Oryctolagus cuniculus: one gene and its partner. The protein of the gene in region 2 interacts with the protein of the main gene of each other region in a pairwise test. Links are inferred from orthologs where the notes say so. Each region holds a gene or a part of one and is shown on either strand. Other genes may lie near its edges. The genes, in order: MAL2 and NDRG4.

Region 1 (3,810 bases), on a different chromosome or scaffold from region 2:
ACAGTGTACTCATCGACTGGTTCACTCTCCAAATGCCTGCAATGGCTGGGGCTGTTCCAGAGTCCAGACAGGGCTGGAGCCAGAAGCCAGGAACATAACATTGGTCTCCTATGTGGGTGCCAAGAAATCAAGCACTTGAGTCCACCTTCTCGCTCCCAGCATGTGCACTGGCAGGAAGTTAGTTAAGAGTCAGAGCTGGGGATCCAACCCAGGGACTTGGATGTAGGACTCAGATATCTTAACCACTAGGCTAAATACTGCTCTGGTTTCTTAAAGTCAAAATCACTGATATAAACCATAAATCTTTCAAAGCTAGAACCATGTCTTCTTTCTGTTGTAATTCCATCTTCAGTCCAGTTCATCATAAGCACTCAATGAATTTTGATAAATCCTAACACAGACTTGTAAAACTTACATTAATAGCTCTTAAAATCATGTCTTTCCCTTTTCAAAATCAAGATTCTAGACCTGTGTTGTCCAGTATGATAGCAACTAACCATATGTCACTATTTATACAAAAATTCAGTTCCTTAGTAATACTAGCTACATTTTCATTACCCAATAGCCACAAGTGGCTGGTGACCACCATATTTAACATCACAATATAGAATGTCCCTATCACTGTAGAAAATTTTACTGTACAGGGGTGCTTCCAACAAGTTTCAATGGCTATAAGGAAGTACCAGGTTATTCGTGGGCTAATTGGGTAAAATAGTAAAACATCTGGTGACTAATTTGCTAGACAGTCATATTAAACATTAAGGCATTTCAGGAAATAATTTGGACTTCTGAGATCTTAAAAATTACCTATAAGAACACAAATAATATCACTTTTCAAATTACCAATATCAATACAAAATGACAAATTTATCCCATTAATGAAGAGGATTTAAAAAATCCCAAAGTTTTCCACTGGAATGTGTTTCCTCTGTATGTCATCTACTGTAATTGTTGGCTTATTGGTCTCCTTCACTAACCTGCACTTCCTCGATTGTAGGCATTACAAGTTTTTCACCCCTTTCCCCACACTCAGAAAATTACCTGTCACACAGAAGGCCTGCAGTAAATATTCACTGCGTTAAAATGAATTATAAATAGGTATTGAATACTAAAGAGCAAAGAAGGGAACAATTCTTCCTTACCATGTTTGAAAGTTAAAAGAAGTAAAAAGCACAATTAATTCCCTTTCAAAAGGAGACTTTGCTGTGAAAAGCCAAGTTGAACTACTGCCTTGCTGTAGTTTTCCATGAATGTCAACCTTTTTTTGTGTTCCAGTTCAATCATCCATACCTCTAGGGTTGATAACAGTACTTTGTTCATAAGGTTATGGTACAGATAAATGGCTATTATATGTTTAATGCTAATGGCTATTATTATAGAAGACTGGTGTTGCCTCAGGAGATTCTTAGAGACCTTGAGGGAGGAGAGGAAATGCAGGTGAACTGTACTTATTGAATACTCACTGTGGCTGCTACGTTTATGTTATACTGGTTATTACTCAGGAGAGGTTGTACAGACATGGTCATGTTGCAATGCAGATTGTGCAGGGATGTTGCTGCTGCTTCCAATAAAAAGGCTCCAAAGTAGAAAACAAACACTGTAAAATGGTAGGCAAAATCCTGAAAGAGGAGAGGAAAGACATCTACAATGAAAAATAATAAGATTTTCTATTACTTATTTCAAACAATCAAGTTTAAATTCAGGAAGATAAAAACATTTAATCAAACAGTCTTAAGTATACTTGTGGTGTATTTGCACTGTGTTAGCAATGTTAGGCCATTAGAATGCAAATGAAAAACAACTTATAAGTCTTAATTGGTAAAGTAGCAAACCTTCTGAAAGACTAAATTTTATAATGAAATGTATAATTTCAGTGTGGATTAAGAAGCCACAGAGATCAGAATTAGTTAACATAAGATACAAAAGGGATACAATACACTAACTTTAAAAGTAAAACAGCATTCCAATGATATATTTTTAGTCAATTATCTATATTAACTGTAAAATTATTTTATATTTGAGAAATCACTAGTTTCATATTTAAGATCTTCATTCCATACATTGAAAGTCATGGAAGACTTTTTTTAAAATACAATTCAAAGACATATGTCCCTATGTTCTATTACAAACAAATACATCATATGCTTCTAAAAAAATCTGGGAACTGAATTATTTATTAGGCTATTTTGTATGTTGTCGGCATTAATGTGAAGCATAACTCTATTAAAATTGTCTCACCTGAATTAATATACCACTATTACACTGCTCTTTATTTTTAACAGCTCCCATATACCAGTTATACATATTATTACTCATCCTTACAACCACATTTATTACCTTCATTTTACAAACAGAGAATTTCTTTTCAGTTAAATGACTGTCCCAGAACCACATAAAAATTAACTTTTAAAGGGGTAATTCAAACTTACATAGTCTCTCTGCTTCAAAAGTCCACTTTCTTTTTTATAAAATATTTTAATTGACAAAAATTGTCCACATTTATCATATACAATATGTTTTGAATATATATGCATAATGGAATAGCTAAATTGAGCTAAGTAATGTATACATTGTCTCACATACTTTTCTCCTTTGTGGTGAGAACACTTACAGTCTACTCTTAGATAATTTTTAAGAATACAATACATTGGTATTAACTAGTCACCATGCTGTATAATAGATATTTTGAAGTTATTCTTTCCTTCTAATTGAAATTTTGTATCTTCTGGTCAATATCACTTGAAGCTCCCCTCTCCCTCCCAGTCCCTGGCAACCACCATTCTACTCTTAGAACTCAACTTTTTTGGATTTTAGATACAAGTGCAGTCATACAGTGTATTTTCTCTGTGCCTGATTGCTTTCACTTGATATTATGTCCTCCATGTTCATCTATGTTGTTGCAAGTGACATGATTCCTTCTTTGTAAAGGCTGACTAGTATAGATGGAGGAGGATACTTTGAAAAGTTCACTAAGAAATGGAATTAGGCCGGCGCCACGACTCACTAGGCTAATCCTCCACCTGCGGCGCCAGCACCCCAGGTTCTAGTCCCAGTTGGGGCGCCAGATTCTGTCCTGGTTGCTCCTCTTCCAGTCCAGCTCTCTGCTGTGGCCTGGGAAGGCAGTGGAGGATGGCCCAAGTTTTTGGGCCTTGCACCTGCGTGGGAGACCAGGAGGAAGCACCTGGCTCCTGGCTTCGGATCGGCACAGTATGCTGACCACAGTAGCCATTTGGGGGGGGTGAACCAATGGAAGGAAGACCTTTCTGTCTCTCTCTCACTGTCTACTCTGCCTGTCAAAAAAAAAAAAAAAAAAGGAAAAAGAAATGGAATTAAAAGATAGGTTAATTTTGGTCCAAAATAGTTTCAAATTCTTGCATGTTTTTTTTTTTTCATAATACACAATGTCCATGAAGTTTCTGAAAAACTCTCCTATACCACATTTTTTAATCAATTCATCCTAAGCGCTAAGTGATAGACACTTAGGTTTATTCCTTATCTTGGCTCTTATAAATAATGCTGCAGTGAGCAAGGGAGTGCAGACTTGTCTTACGGATTTCACTTCCCCTGGATATATGCCCAGTAGTGGACTGCTACATCATAAGGTAGTTTTAATTTTTTGAAACACCTCCATACTATGTTCCATAATGATAGCACTAATGTATATTCCCACCAATAGTATGCAAGTGTCCTTTCAAAGTCCACCTTCTTTCTCTCTATCAAACTGCCTCTATTATCGATGTAGCAATATTGCAAAAAAAATACTGCCCTGCCTCGGTAAACGCCCAGACAGCAAACAGTATTGTCCATAGG
Region 2 (4,339 bases):
TGCCAGCATTCCATATGAGCACTGGTTCAAGTCCTGGCTGCTCCACTTTTGATACAGTTCACTGCTAATGTGCCTGGGAAAGCAGTGGAACATGGCCCAAGTGTTTGGAGCCCTGGCACTCATGTGGGAAACCTGGAGGAAGCTCCTGGCTTCAGTCTGGCCCAGCCCTGGCTGTTGCAGCCATTTGGGGAGTGAACCAGCAGATGGAAGACCCCTCTCTCCCTCCCTCCCTCCCTCCCTCCCTCTGTGTGTGTGTGTGTGTGTGTGTGTGCATATGTAACTCTACCTTTCAAATTAATACATCCTTTTTTTTTAATGGTCTTAATAAACAGGAGATTGTGAAAACCAGAGAGAACCAGACAAATCAGAGTTTTTAAAAGCTGCTTCAGTTAAACAATTCTGTAAGGCTGACGTGCAGGCAGGGAGTCCCAGGTCCTCTACAAAATTATCCTGAAAGGGCTGGCAATGTAGTGTAGTGGATTAAGCCACTGCCTGCAATGCCAGCATCTCATATGGGCACTAGTTCGAGTCCCCGCTGTTCCACTTTTTTAAAGATTTTTACTTATTTATTTGACAGGTAGAGTTACAGACAGTGAGAGAGACAGAGGGAAAGGTCTTTCCGTTGGTTCACCCCCCAAATGGCTGCCACAGCCAGAGCTGCGCCAATCTGAAGCCAGGAGCCAGGTGCTTCTCCCAGGTCTCCCATGCGGGTGCAGGGCCCAAGTGGATGGCTTGGCTTGAGTGGATGGCTCCTGGCAAAGCTGTGCTTGGCCCTGCCGGTCCCACCCAGGGTGCGGGACCTGGGCCATCCTCCACTGCCCTCCCGGGCCACAGCAGAGAGCTGGACTGGAAGAGGAGCAACCGGGACAAAATCCGGCACCCCAACCGGGACTAGAACCCGGGGTGCCAGTGCTGTAGGCAGAGGATTAACAAAGTGAGCCACGGCGCCAGCCCCACCTGCTCCACTTTCAATCTAGCTCCCTGCTAATGCACCTGGGAAGACAGCAGAAGATGGCCCAAGTCCTTTAGCCCATTACACCACAATACCAGCCCCCAAATAAATAATTTTTTTTTTAAAAAAGTTATCCTGGAGACACTGCTGATGACAGGCTATGCCAGCCTGGGCTCAGTCAACAGTTATTAAGCACTTGCTGTATGCCACTACAATCAATCAACAGCCACCCTGTGACCTGCTTACCTTCCCCAGTGGGTCAAATTCTCACAGCTGCATGTGAGCAAGGTTAAGGGGCTGGGGGCAGATCCAGTATCCCCGGTGGCTCCTCAGCCAGGACACATGGAGTTCTCCATTTTGGGGGCAGCCAAGACTGCGCAATCAGAGGGGAAATAAAGCCAGAGAGGCCTGTTCCCAGCAGGTGCGTGGCCTGTGCTATCTCAGCAAACCGCACACCACCTCTTAGAAGGCGGTGAGAACGCCACCTTTAAGAGCAGAAGACTGAGGCCAGAGAGGCGAGCTAACCTTGGCGAGTGAGTGGTGGGAACTGAAATCCAAGACTGGGAGATGGAGAGGCAGACAGGAGGGCTGCAGAGATGGTCGAACAGCCACAGAGGGGGTGCGCTGAGGCCCGGGGTTAGAGGTCAGAGGGAGCCTGGGACCGACAGTGACAGGCAGGGTCCTGTTTCCGCCTGGCCAGCCGCTTAGCAAGTCTGGTGGAGCAGGTGAGCCCATCTGACAAGGGAGGAGAGGTGCTGCACCCAGGGCCCTGAAGCTCGGGTCCCCCACGTGCCCACCGTGAGCATTTCTCCTCTAGGTCTTGTGGAAGCAGGGAGGGGAGGCGGAAAGGACCCAGAAGTTCCGTCTCCATGGGGCTTCACAGCCTGCCCCGGGCAGGGGTTAAGTCCAGCACCTGGGCCGTTCTCCGGGGCAGGTGGGCTGGGCCTGCCCTAGCCAGAGAGCTCGCCAAGGCAAAGTTGATGAGGGATGACAGATGCTGGCTGTGGCTAAGCGGGCTCTGAGCCCACACTTCCCAGGCCCTGCCTGCCCTGGGAATGCACAGCCTAGAGCCTGCCCCTTGCCCTGCCCCCACTATCTCCAGCTCCACATCCCTCCCAGCTCAAGCCTCTCGCTCACACCAGGGCAGCCGCCTGGACGCCTCAAGTCTATGACCCCACCCCTGTGTCACACACAGAGTCCCTCTTCAAGGCCACCCCTGCTCTCACCCGCCGGCTCCCCCCCCCCCCCCCCCCGCCCTAGCTCAGGCTCCAACCTCTTCTCCAGTGCCCTGACTGCTCCCTGCCCCTCCCTGCCTGCAACCCGGCTCTAGTGCTGTAAGGTCCTCCAGGGCAGAAACCGCACTTCCAGGTGCCAGACACATTTACTGAAAGCCACATGCGTTCCTGCAGCACATGGACGGGGAACTCCCGAGTGTCCCCCTCCCCCCTCCCAGTCACCCCTCCCCGGGGGCGCACACGGAAGCCGGGGTGTTACTGTCCAGCCCCCCCGCCCAGTTCAGGGCGGCCAGTCCCAATCGCTTCACCCGGCACAGCCCAACGCTCCTGTGGGTCTCCAGCATAGCATCTGGTCACTTCCCCAGAGGGCCCCCCAAGACACCAGGATCCCAGGCCACTTGGCCTCTATAACGGTCAAGAAACTTCTCCCCCTACAGAAAGGACCGTCACAGGGAGCAGACACGAGACGCCCGCGGCACGGGTGCTGCCCGGAGTCCAGGGCGCTCCTTTCTTGGGGAGTGAGCCGCCCCGATTGGAGGGCAGGGGATCCGAGCTCCTTTCCCTGAGCCGGGCAGGGACCCCAGAGGCCGTCTCGCTCACTCTCAGCAGAGCCGGGCGGGCTCCGCCCAGGAGCAGGTAGAGCACAAGCTGGGAATTAGTTGGCATCCGCACCCCTCGGGCTCGCACCCGAGCGCCCCAACCCCCGGGTACCGCGGTCGGAGCCCGCTCCGACCCGGAAAGCGGCGACGGCGATACCTGTAAGCAGTTCCAGCCGGTGCCCCAGCACCCTCATCGCGGCGCGGCACGGCCCGGGCTGTGGCGTCGGGGAGCGCGCAAGGCGAGCGCCGAGCGGCAGCAGCGGCGGCAGCAGCAGCAGCAGGAGCGCTCTCGCCGCCCCCCACGCCGCGCTCCCCCGCCAAACCCGTGCGAAAAAATCCACCAATTGCACGGCCGCGCACCCCCAAAAGGCGCCCGCCGCCACCTGGTCCGGACGAACTCCGGGAGGCGGGGAGAGCGCGCGGGGAGGGGGCCGGCGACACCGCGGGAGGGGCCCTGCGCCCGCCTGGTGAACAAAGAGGCCCCGCCGCCCCCGGCCGTCGCGGGGCGCGGTTGGTGGCGCAGGGGGTTCCCGTGCCCCGCGGGGAAGGCAAGGAGGGAGCGCCGGGGCTGGGTGGGGACGAGGGGGCTGTCCTCGCTTAGCAGAAAGGCGGCTCGGCCGGGAAGGTGCGGCGCTCCTTCGGGGTCGTGCGCGGAGCCTGGGGCTGCGCGCGCCACAACCAGGGAGCGGCGACCTGGGGGCGCCGCAGACTCACCGAGGTGATGCGGGAGACACAGACGCGCAGGCGGGGAGCCGGGCCACGGCACCGCCGCCGCCAACGCGCGGTGCAGGCGCCTGCAGCCGGGAGCCCCTGCGCCGCTGCCGGGAGCGGAGGCCGGGGCTGGGGGCGGCGCGCCGCGGGGGCGGGCCCACGTGGGTGTGGGGGGGGGCGTGGGCACTCAGTCGCGCGGGGCCAGGCCTGGCTGCTGCGCCTAGGATCGCACTAGGTGCCCACTGCGCTCCTGCCGCGGCGGGAGCTGAGCCAGGCGCCACGACCCGCAGATCCGGCGGAGACCCCTTGCGGGTCCGCACCCCCTTCCACGTCTCACCTCTGCGGGTCCCGGCCTCTCGGAGCGCAGGCCTGTTGTCAGCGACGTCGGGTTCCCGGGGGAGGGGCGGCCCCTGCCTGGGGCTTTTTTTAGACTCCCGAAGGCCTGGAAGACCGGGCAGAGCCTGGTGTTCCGGGGCTCTCTGGGGCGTCGTCCGGTTTGCGGAGCCCAGGGTTTCCTTGGGAGAACGCGTGCGGGAGTGGATGGCTCCTAGCAAAGCTGTGCTTGGCCCTGCCGGTCCCGCCCGGGGTGCGGCGAGGTACCCTCTCCCCCGCGTTCGTCCCGCGGAGTCCCGGGTTTTCCTCCGCCCGACGCAGCGGCTCCCACCTGCTGCCCCTCCCCCACCCCTAAAAGGGAGGGCCTTGGCCTTGGACCGAGGCCCACACGCCGGGGAGCGAGGGAATCTGATGCCCTGAAAGCGTTTGTTTGGGCAAGACACGCGTCCTGCAGACCCAGGTTCCCTTCGGGCTCCAGCACGTCCTGGACGCCACGCTTTTGGGTGCAG

The links.
Region 1: the proteins of NDRG4 (region 2) and MAL2 interact in binary tests that used the Homo sapiens proteins (3 or more experiments, as listed by UniProt). The two-hybrid records come from large-scale screens. The link is inferred for Oryctolagus cuniculus from reciprocal best matches to the Homo sapiens genes NDRG4 and MAL2.

What each region holds. Positions count from the first base shown.
Region 1 is NC_091437.1:145,033,733-145,037,542, reverse strand, and holds part of MAL2 (protein MAL2), read right to left. Parts: intron 1,620-3,810; coding exon 1,464-1,619; intron 1-1,463. UniProt on the Homo sapiens protein: Member of the machinery of polarized transport. Required for the indirect transcytotic route at the step of the egress of the transcytosing cargo from perinuclear endosomes in order for it to travel to the apical surface via a raft-dependent pathway.
Region 2 is NC_091449.1:41,762,880-41,767,218, reverse strand, and holds the start of NDRG4 (protein NDRG4), read right to left. Parts: upstream 3,099-4,339; 5' UTR 2,981-3,098; coding exon 2,944-2,980; intron 1-2,943. UniProt on the Homo sapiens protein: Contributes to the maintenance of intracerebral BDNF levels within the normal range, which is necessary for the preservation of spatial learning and the resistance to neuronal cell death caused by ischemic stress.